3 linked regions of the Tribolium castaneum genome follow. The protein of the gene in region 3 interacts with the protein of the main gene of each other region in a biochemical or structural test. Links are inferred from orthologs where the notes say so. Each region holds a gene or a part of one and is shown on either strand. Other genes may lie near its edges.

Region 1 (4,320 bases), on a different chromosome or scaffold from region 3:
GTTTCACAAAAATGAGGTAAGTATATCTTACACTGATATTATAGCTTCAGAAAATGTGAATTCTTCTCTTGACACAATTTTAATTGATCATTTTGAATGCAAACGAAATTTGTTATCGACTGACAAAGTAATAGCCATTGTGTTGAAAAAATTGATTAGATTAAACGCATAAATCACTTTATTCATCTAGTCTATTTCATGATTATCCTAAATCTTATCAAACAGTGGGAACTAATTTAATTTTAAAGTGGTGTTGATCGCTGGAAATTATTCCACTCGTGTGAATTTGGTAAGAATTAATTATTGTTGCCCTAATTAGGTACATTAGAAAAACAAATTCTAACAAGTAGTGCAAACAGTAAATTATGTTACCTTGTCACATCGATATAGAGCAAAATGATCATTTTCGTGGTGTTGTCCTTTCTTACAGGAATTTTCGTATGGTTTGTGGGAAAATTATTTTCGAGTAAATCGCTGTAAGTACTTTGTATATTTATTTAGATAAATTTAAGATGTTAAAGTTTACAACTCACACAAAAAAACATTCTAAAAATGAGCCATTGGTTAATTTTCTATTGTAATGCTATTGACAAATTTCGGGCCCACAAAACCATCACAAAAATAAACAATATTTTTGACTTACGTCATACTTGATACCTCAAAAAGGAGAGTGATCTTAAAAATATCTAATTATTGTCATTCAAAACGTGTTCAGGCATAAAATAATGCAAATGTTGCTCATATTTAATCAAAAACCTAGCAGATTAGTCACAAATGTTTATCACTTATCGCAGTTTTCCAGAACGTAGGTATGATTTATAAGTAATTATTAATTGTTATTAGCGAGTGCGGTGACATTATTTAACGATGCAAAATACAAAAAAAAAAAAACGTAAAGAAAGTATTGACCTTCCAAGCTACTGAAATACAAAGTTGAATGATTAAGTGTACAAAAATCGCCCTCCAATTTTGTAAAAACTGCTGCGTGACGGTAATACTTGGAATAATTTTTAATTTTCACTCTTTTTGTACCGTAAAATGCTGCTATTAAGAGTGAAATTTGTTATTGGAATAATTTAAAAAAATATCATTTTCAAACATTTTGACAATGACAATTCGTCAATGCTACAAATCGAAATGCAGGTAATACAAAACTCCCTACATTTTCAATTTTATCGTTTTTTTATGGACACAATGAAGGCAAAATAAAAAACGCATATTTCAGGTGTTTTATAAGACTTATTATCGCAACCATTGGGGCACTCCTCATCGGCACTAATTTTAAATGTGTTAAACACCGCCAGTAATGAGTACAATGGCACCAACAAAACAAATTTAAAAATTGTCAATCATGGCCTACGACGATACGGCCCCAATTTTCCTCCACAACCTTTCAAAATTAACGTAACTGTCAAAACAGATGTTAAAATGTTAAACAGTGTGCAGTCACTTGGGTCGTTTCGGTGCCCCCATTGCTCTGCTTAACAATCAGTGTGAATCTTTCGCGACAATTTCCAATTTAGCGCGTAAGTTTGCAGAATTGTGGGAGTGCGTGAATCACGCATTCCGGCATGCGCATTCGGCCCGTGGTCTCTTTGTTCGTTCGTTGTGCGCCTTCAGCCAGCGTTGTGTCTAAATCCAAGTGAAAAAACCGGCCAATTGACATTGCTATATGGTTATCAGCGCGCAAATTCCTCGATTGACCCGCAACTAATCAAACTGTGTCCTTTCGTGTCCGATGTCTAGTGCTGAAATCGCCGAAGGCTCCGTCGATCCCCCAACTAAGAAGCGGAAGCTTGACTCGTGCCCGATTTCAACCGACATGGCGAACAACGGCGCTTCCGGATCGTCTCAGCAGGACATCGACGAGGGTCTGTACTCGCGCCAGCTCTACGTCCTGGGGCACGACGCCATGCGGCGCATGGCCTCCAGCGACGTGCTGGTCTCAGGCCTGGGCGGGCTCGGCGTCGAGGTGGCCAAGAACGTCATCCTCGGCGGGGTCAAGTCCGTCACGTTGCATGACGAAGCCGTTTGCAGCGTCGCCGACCTCTCGTCGCAGTTCTACTTCACCGAAGCCGACGTGGGCAAGAACAGGGCCGAGGTCTGCTGCAAGCAGCTGGCGGAGCTCAACACCTACGTCCCCACGAAGGCCTACACGGGCCCCCTGACGCCGGACTTCATCCGCAAGTTCCGAGTCGTTGTCCTGACCAATAGTTGTCTCGCTGAGCAGATGCAAATCAGCGAAATCACACATGCCAGTAACATTGCGCTCATTGTGGCCGATACGAGGGGGCTCTTTGCCCAAGTGTTCTGTGATTTCGGGGATGCTTTCACGGTCGTTGACACCAACGGGGAGTCGCCGGTCTCGGCGATGATCGCTGATATTTCCACCGATAAAGAAGGTGGGTACAAAGAACCTAATGGAAGGCATTGTTACACAATGACTAATCTTGACGTTGTACGTCGGGTTATATTGGCAATTATTGTGCAATCAACCTGATCATGTGGCTAAAATTAATCCGATGTTAGAAGTTTGCCTTTGTTTTCCTTGCGATGTGCGAAGGTATGGAGTGAAAATCCCCAAAGGGCACTATATCAGTACTCAAATACCGTATGGTCAAATAAATCTGTCATCCTAATAAATTAAACATAATTCGAGACTATTCATAAAACCTAAAGCCATTTATTGGCTTACCAAAGTAGCAGTCGAATGGCATTAAACTTTGTGTAAATGTTGAGAAAATGTTGTAAAAAACATGTGATTTTATTAAAAATAGATGCTGTACTATCCCTTTTTTCCTCCTGTAAACTACCACTTGTGTGGAGGGTAGGAGGTTGATATTTTGAAGGTGAGCTGTATATTTATTAAAAAAATCTTTAGGTTTGTTAGTTAAATACCGGGTCAAGAAATAACCCACTATTGACTCACCCTGTACTTCAAACAATATCTTACCTAATAGAACAACTTGGTAAGATCAGCTAAAGAAGCACTGCAATCACAAAACTTCTATAATTTTATCTTGATGCAACTTAAATGATCTCCAAGCATTCAGTATTCAACTATTTTATTAAATAAAATAGCTTAAAATAGAGATTTTTTATTTTATTTTTAAACGAAACTTTTTTAAATTCATATTCGATACAGTTCTGAGTAATAATGACACCATTTCATACTAAGATTTATTTAAATGTAAGTCGTCTGAAAACTAGATCAAATATTTTTGATTGCAACTAAGAAAATTTCAGAAATTGATATTGTTGTTAAAGCATAAATTACATTATTGAAGCCACATTTTTTATGGAAACCAAAAGAAAACTCTGTATTTTTTTATTCGAAAATTGGTTTAAACACTTTTCCTTTTCCCATTCTCAGTACAGTAAAGCTTTGTCAAATTTTAGTATCGTAATCTAAAAAGTCTTATTTTGTCAATTTTTTTATGCTGTTGAAAAATTATTATGTCTGTTTTTAATGACCCAAATGTATCAGGACAAATCCAATTTAAATGTTCAATCTTATTTTTATCGATAAAGTGGGTAACACAATGTTAACATGAAAAAAATTAAAAATCTGGGTCTGGGTTAACTGAATTACACATGACACTCGATTTTTTTTTGTAAAATTTGCCTTTTGAGTCAATTGACAGGCAATTACAGGGTAATTCCATTTTTTACGAGATATAGCTCTCCAAATGTTAGATTTTTCGATTAAGTTTTTGGCAGATCATTTTTTCTTGAATTTAGTTAGCAGGAATGACACTAATTGATGATTTACGTTCAAAACAATTAATCAAAGTAGCAAATTTGACAATAAATTCGCCAATATTGGGAACAGAGGCGCAACATTTAAAAGAGTGTCTCAGGAAAAATATTAAAAATTAAAAGTTAAATTATCAGAAAAAAAATCTAAATTAATTTTTAATGTTAGCGGAACGTCTTTGTGGGCTTTTATCATCAAAAATCAACTATTTGGCTATTATTAATTATTATTATCTATTAGGTATAATTTCTTTTCTCTCGATATGTGATATGTTATTCACATTTGGATTATTAATGATCAAGAAAATTAATAGAGTAGTGAAGCAGCTTACTCGTAATACAGTTTTTATTTGATTATATTGGTTTCTGTTTTATTTCATTGCAAAAGCAGCTATTTAATGATCATTGTTGTAACGTCTATAAACAATGGGTTAATGAATTCGTACTATTTTTAGCTTTTCTACAATTGAAAAAAGATGAAATTTGCTCAAAGACCTCTAAAATTAAATTCTTTCAAATCACTAATTTTCTGTTTTTATTACATGTCATCAAAATACGTATAAC
Region 2 (3,021 bases), on a different chromosome or scaffold from region 3:
TACTAGTTTGTAACCCCATGGGAAGGATGTCCGCAGACGACGCTATGGCGCACGCTTATTTCAGTGATTTAAATCCAGCAATTAAAAATGACCGATGCTAAATTTTTTTATTAATTTTGAAACGTCCATTCTCTAGTCATAACCAATTTTTTTATTATGTTTATTTGGAGATTATAATTCGGTGTAAACATAGCCATCTCACTTTCAATAAACGTACTGAAACTGAGGTGACTATTTTTCATTACCATTGGATTTTTTCGTGATGTAAACCATTTTTATATTGAAATAATTGTAGGAATAAACAACTCATTTGAATTACATTATTTACGAACCCTTGCGTATTTTGCGGGAAAAATTGGAGAGGTGCAGATAAAATGCGTTTTTTTAATAATTTATTACAGCAATACTAAGCACAATAACAAAGATTAGGAGATTGACAGGACACGTAAGTACGACGAAATAAGTAACTGATATACTTTGGCCCTTAGATATCTGGCACACAATATGTTTGCATGGCAATTACGTATTTCCTATATCGAAATATAACTAGACAGTTCTATGTTTAATAAAGAGAACATGCACTTTGCACTGCATAACAATATGAAATACATGTTCGACCTACGAGGATTCCCTCGGGTCTGAGCATTTTAATTATACACAAAAATTCAGGCCGGACGTTTTAACACTGTAATAAAATCGCGTGTAAGTAAACAAAACAAACATTAAAACATAGCAAAATAAAGCACGAATCTAAAACCTAACACAAAAACGTGAAAGTATCACACGGAAATACCAAGAGTCAGTCTTTTATCACAATGTACACTACAAACTTAATTAAAATTCAAGTGCAATCTGACCAAAGCCTTTAAAAATATTTCATCCAGGGCGAGGTTCACCAGATCCGATTGGTGAGACTAGCTCTAACGATGTAACACCGCTAAGTGGTGACTAAGTTTTATTAAACTTTGATTAAGGAACATTAGTTCGTTTAAAAAGACAGTTATTTACTTCATCTAAAAATAAAGAACATAAACATTCTCAAATAAAACAACAAATTGCAAATTTATCACTCGGAAAATGACTAATCGACGTCAATTCAATTTCAGACTAATAAATATCTTAAACCTACTTAATAATTTATAACATGAATTTCATACAAACTTACAAACGCCATAACAACTTAGATATTCCTAAACTGCCATTACGAAATGATTTGTCTTTAATAAATCGGTATTTAAAACACGTTCCCGTTTTATCATTTTTAGTTTAGATCCACATCCCTTGAGCCTTGCGTTCGAAAATAAAACAAATACAATTCTGCAAGATAATTCAAATTTTTACATAATGTTATCTAGACATTTATTATTAATATCTAAATATAGCGCAGTGTTTTAACTGCAGATATTTTCAATGTACACTTTAACAATTTGTTACATCTGGGACAACTTTGTCAGACGACTTCTCCCCTAAAAAATATCTTCATAAATACTTCAACTTTGTAGCTCCACTTTTGCAGCAGCGGCGGCTTTTTGTTTCTCGATGTAGCGTTTTCTGGCGCTCTGAATCAAATTCTCTTTGCGTCTGTGGAGAATCTTTTCGCGCTCCGACGAAGACTTCGAAAATCTGCTCCCCAAACTGCTCGTATCTTCACTGAAAAAGCACAATCTTCAATATTTCTATATTGGCTATGCAACCAGTAAAACACTTCTGTCAAGATTAATAATTTTGTCTCCATGCATCAAGAAGGCTATGATTTTGATATTTTTTGCGTCACAGGTGTTTCTACTTGATTTTTTACTTAAGTGTATGCCGTGTGGCTATAACGTGTAGTTACTTGTAAGAAAACTGTTAAAAACAGATTTGCAAGAATGAATAAAAAAGCGGAAAATTCTGATGGTGTAAGTAACAAATTAAGTATTGTATTCCTAGTCGAATAAGGGTTATATGGCCCCCAGTAAAATAATTAGACTCTAATAATGAGGGGCACTGGAACTGTTTGAAAACAGAGAAAACCTTAATAATAAATGCAAATTTTGAGTTGGTGGCACGGGTCTGGTAATAAACCCATTGTGAGGCGGTTAACTTCTGTACAAAAAACCCTCTATAAAACCTTAAAACAATTGGAATGCTATAAGCTTGTATCACAAAAGTTGTCAAATCTGTATTTTATTTCGTTTTAACTCTCTTCAATTAAGCAACCAAGCAAGTAAACAACAATCATTTGTCTTGATCTTTCAAAAATTTTTATATAATGTAATAAGTATAGCAAATTACTGCAAACTTGCATTAAGATTTTTATTATTAGAGGCAGTTGCCTTTTAAGGAGCATTTCTTGTTACAGTCCCCGTACACGATGTTTGAGGCAATATCTGCTCAAGACACAGAATCAGTGAAATATTTCCTTGAAGATTTAAACATAAGAAGTAAACGCAAAGGCGAAACAGTATTAACGCACGCTGTTGTTCATGGAAATTTGGAAATCATCAAACTTCTGTTGTCCAATGGTGCTGATCTTAACGCCCTTTGCTGTCATGGCGACACACCTTTGATTAAATGTATCACCAAAGGAAACTTAAAACACGCCAAATACTTGGTAGAAAATGGAGCAAACACTTGTCAAGCGGACAGAAACGGCTACACTCCCTTAGCTCACGCTGTATACAACGAAAACACGGAAATGATTGAACTCTTATTAAAAAGTCACGCTCGGTTCACCCTCCATTCAGGCCTGTTTGAAGCTATAGACAACTGTAACTTTAAAATGACAAAATTCATGCTTGAAAAAGGCGCTGATGTTAATCTTTGCGGTGAAAACGGAGAATTTCCTCTTACGCACGCTGTTAAGAAAAAACAGTCCGAAATTGTCAAGCTTTTGATAAAAAAAGGTGCTAACATTAATTGCACCGATAGGGATGGATATACACCAGTGATGAGGGCTGTCCAACAACAAAATTTTGATATGGTTAAAGATTTGATTGGATTTGGAGCCGACGTCAACATATGGAATATATTTAATAACAG
Region 3 (3,529 bases):
AATTTTATTAGCGATGTTTTTTAAATGCATGAATAATTTATTTCAGCCAGTTTTGAGAGAAAATGCGACGTTGGCGTTTTTATAGTTTTGAAACAGTTAATACGCACAAATGATTAGAGATATTGTTATTTGTTTAACTTTAGTTAAAACTAAAATAAATTACATCAAAGCAGTACAAATGAATGTATTTTGCAAGCAATAAGAAAAAATATAATGTATGAATATGTAAAATTGTACTATTCATTTGTGTGTAGTTTATTTAAAGACCAATTTACAACAGGTTTAATGCAATGGAATAATTCTGAACTTTAAGTGCGATTTTTTCAGAATCCTCTCACTAGCAATATGAAATAAAGTCGATTTCATTTACAGGATTTTTTGTATTGCTGAGATTTGTGAAAATTCTGTAAATGAAGCAACTTTGGCCTAAGGTAGAGAGGACGTGGAGTCGAATCAAGTCAATTAAAAATTAATTTTGCAAGTAAATGGTGTGAAAAACTCACCGTTTCGGGCGCTGCACTATTTGAAGGCTGTTTGACGGGACGCATTCTTGCCAACTCGGGATTTTAGGTAAATGTCCAATTATTAATAACGATAGATTTATTAATAAAATTTACTTAACTTATGATTCCTACAGTGTTACAGTTGAAATTTACATAAACTAATAGCAGTTACAAGTAGTGTTTTCGACAAATGTCTTAAGTATTACAATTAAGACAACATTTGAATCTTGACGATCGCTTTTCGTTTTACAATACCACATTCACGCTGAAAACTTGAATTAGACCCACAGAAATTTGAATGATATTATTTTATTGAAAAGAAAAATCCGACTCTCTTTGAGATCGTGAAAAAAAATTAAGAAAAAAGCAACGGACTCGATTCCAGGTAATATAAAAAATGCGAATTTTTCAATTAAGAATCAAACCGTTTTGTGAAATTGGTTTAATGTACTAACATTCCTCTTGGGACTTTCGGACACATCGTGCTACTTTTCGTTTGAATTCGCCGTACATTTCCCGCCACTCTTTCTGGAATTCCCCAATTAGTCAAGTGATACACACGCTATTTTTTCTCTTACCGCAGCATCGACATTCGCAGGTGATTCATCGTTTGGGTCGGCTAACATTGAAATAACGGATATTAAAATAGTCTCTACAGTATGAACTGGCAGCCACCTTTCTGACGCTTTTTCATAACCGAACTTATCATCCCCTGGCTCGTGTAGGATTGATATACACACGTCGCCATTTTTATCGACTAAAATGACACTCAATTAATTCTGTGAGCCCCCCTGGGGGTTGCTTACTGTTAGGGTGCCATATTTCTGTCACGAATTTCATTTTGGGCGGCCTGAGTGGATATTCTTTGGGGAAATAGAGGTGGCATTTGAAGAAACCTCCTTCGCTGCAACACATTCGCGTTCCTAACCTCAAATTTTTTTAACGATTAAAAAACTTACTAAAGCGTGTCCGGAGGGCCGATTATTAGCACTTCCCATCTATAAATGTCATTATCGTCGATTAGCCCAGCAGAAAAGCCCTCGACGGGGTTTTTGTTCAATTCTGGAAACAAACCAAAACTTCATTATTAAAATAACACGACCTTAAGGTCATCGCTCGTACGAGCGACTTTCACGAATTTTTCATGAAATGAGGGATGCAAATGTCAGAGATTTTTTGACAGTTGGGGTTAGAATCGTGGGGGCCCCCCGTGTTTGAGGGGTTAGGTGCGTCGGTTGGGGTGTATTCGCCGACAGGGGGCCCCAAGTTTCGGGGGTGGGTGGCTGCATGTGGCCGGGGTCGTGTCGGGTTGAAATTTTGGGGTTATAATTGATCGTTTTGTGGATTTCGGGCCGAGTTTGGTGTCGATGGCATCGTATTTCTTTGTGCTTTGTCGGCGATGAAAGAATGAATTTAAATCGTTTTCGTGACTCACCTGCTAGCTGTTTTCTTAGTAGAAGGGCTGACTGTGGTTCTGACATTAATTACAAACTTAATTTAGAGCTAAAATTAAGAAACAAACACAGTTTTCTGGGAAAAGATGGCCGGTGTTACTACCAAATAGGACCGCATTGGATCATTTGAGTCACCTAAAAACATATGGTATGTTGGTGTTGGTTTGCGTCCGGGGTTGGATTATGGCCGACGGGTGCTAGTCTCGGGTGGAAGGGAAGAAATCTACGCCCGGTTGCGGGAAATTTGAAGTGTGCGACTTTTGAAAAGAGAGTTTTGGAGTTTACGAGAATTTTACGATTTTCGACGAATTTTGACGCATGACAAATAAAATAGGTTGCTTTAGTTTCAAAAGGGTCTGTCTATTTTGCTGACCAAATAATTATTAAACAGTAGTAGTTTTTAATTTTGAAGATAGAAGAGTTGAAGAGGCATTATTGTGAATATTCAGCTCTTGAATAATTTGAATAATAATAATAATAATAATAATTTGAATAATAAGTTATTTTTTTCTATTGTTTCTTGTTGTGTTTTTCCTTACCTTGTATTTATTACGGCTAAAGTATAAACTTGGCTAGCTTGTAAACTAGCCAAAGCATTGGTCAGTGTTACGGCTAATGTGTAAACTTGGCTAGTTTGTAAACTAACTGGTTAGTTTGTAGACTAACTGGTTAGCTTATAAACTAGCTGGTTAGTTTGTAAACTAACTGGCTAGTTTGTAAACTAACTGGTTAGTTTGTAAATTAGTTGGTTAGTTTGTAAACTAGCCAAAGCATTGGCCAGTGTTACGGCTAATGTATAAACTTGGCTAGTTTGTAAACTAGCCAAACCGTTGGCTATTTTAATAGAAAATGCAATTTTAACTAAAATAGCGGCTAGTATGTAGAGTACCTACAGTCCTCGGCTAATTTACTTGAAAGATAAAATGGAATTTTATGTTCGCATTTTATTAATTGTAAGTCCGAGTTGTCAGAAGGTTGGTAAGTTGGGTGGTTTAAAAACAAGATAAAATATCCATTGTTTTAATTAGTTTATATAACAAGATTTCATAACTTCAATTTATTCACATAAGTTAGCCCAGTGAGTTGGTTAGTTTGTCAACTAGCTAAAAAATTGTATAACTTGTGTTACCAGAAAATACGGTTTTAATAGTAACCAGAGAAAGTCTTGTAAAATTTATAAACCATTTTATCTGTCAAGTAAATTAGCCAAGGTTATTAGCTAGTTTGTAAACTAGCCGCTATTTTATTTGAAAGTGCGTTTTATGTTAAAATAGCTAATGCTTTGGCTAGTTTACAAACTTAACAGCTAGTTTACACATTAGTCGTAACATAATCATATAAATTTTTATTGAAACAAATTTTTAACAAAACTTTTTTAACAATTTTTTCACGAATCAAAGTTGAGTGTTATCAAGAGAACGTCTTGGATGATCACAGATTTAGATTTGTTGTAAAAAAGTGCCCCAAGAATGTCCTACTTCGTCTAGTTCTTTTGGCTTTCGCTTTAAAAAATAAAAACAAAAGTTACCAATTTTTGATTTTTCGAAATAATTCAAAAACTAAAAATAACGT

The links.
Region 1: of the proteins of ubiquitin-conjugating enzyme E2 G1 (region 3) and Uba1, one has a biochemical effect on the other in vitro, tested with the Homo sapiens proteins (3 studies listed by BioGRID, with this or other methods). The link is inferred for Tribolium castaneum from reciprocal best matches to the Homo sapiens genes UBE2G1 and UBA1.
Region 2: the proteins of ubiquitin-conjugating enzyme E2 G1 (region 3) and E3 ubiquitin-protein ligase AMFR form a complex in vitro, tested with the Homo sapiens proteins (7 studies listed by BioGRID, with this or other methods). The link is inferred for Tribolium castaneum from reciprocal best matches to the Homo sapiens genes UBE2G1 and AMFR.

The regions. Positions count from the first base shown.
Region 1 is NC_087394.1:32,757,132-32,761,451, forward strand, and holds the start of Uba1 (ubiquitin-like modifier-activating enzyme 1), read left to right. Parts: upstream 1-1,386; 5' UTR 1,387-1,738; coding exon 1,739-2,402; intron 2,403-4,320. UniProt on the Homo sapiens protein: Catalyzes the first step in ubiquitin conjugation to mark cellular proteins for degradation through the ubiquitin-proteasome system.
Region 2 is NC_087396.1:17,624,779-17,627,799, reverse strand, and holds the end of E3 ubiquitin-protein ligase AMFR, read right to left. Parts: intron 1,651-3,021; coding exon 1,491-1,650; 3' UTR 514-1,490; downstream 1-513. Other genes in the region: Cdk5 (cyclin-dependent-like kinase 5), read left to right, coding at 1-101. UniProt on the Homo sapiens protein: E3 ubiquitin-protein ligase that mediates the polyubiquitination of lysine and cysteine residues on target proteins, such as CD3D, CYP3A4, CFTR, INSIG1, SOAT2/ACAT2 and APOB for proteasomal degradation.
Region 3 is NC_087401.1:11,951,457-11,954,985, reverse strand, and holds ubiquitin-conjugating enzyme E2 G1, read right to left. Parts: upstream 2,286-3,529; 5' UTR 2,103-2,285; coding exon of another isoform or gene 2,093-2,102; 5' UTR 2,061-2,092; intron 2,007-2,060; 5' UTR 1,985-2,006; coding exon 1,939-1,984; intron 1,566-1,938; coding exon 1,463-1,565; intron 1,408-1,462; coding exon 1,310-1,407; intron 1,261-1,309; coding exon 1,082-1,260; intron 1,032-1,081; coding exon 954-1,031; 3' UTR 598-953; downstream 1-597. UniProt on the Homo sapiens protein: Accepts ubiquitin from the E1 complex and catalyzes its covalent attachment to other proteins. In vitro catalyzes 'Lys-48'-, as well as 'Lys-63'-linked polyubiquitination. May be involved in degradation of muscle-specific proteins.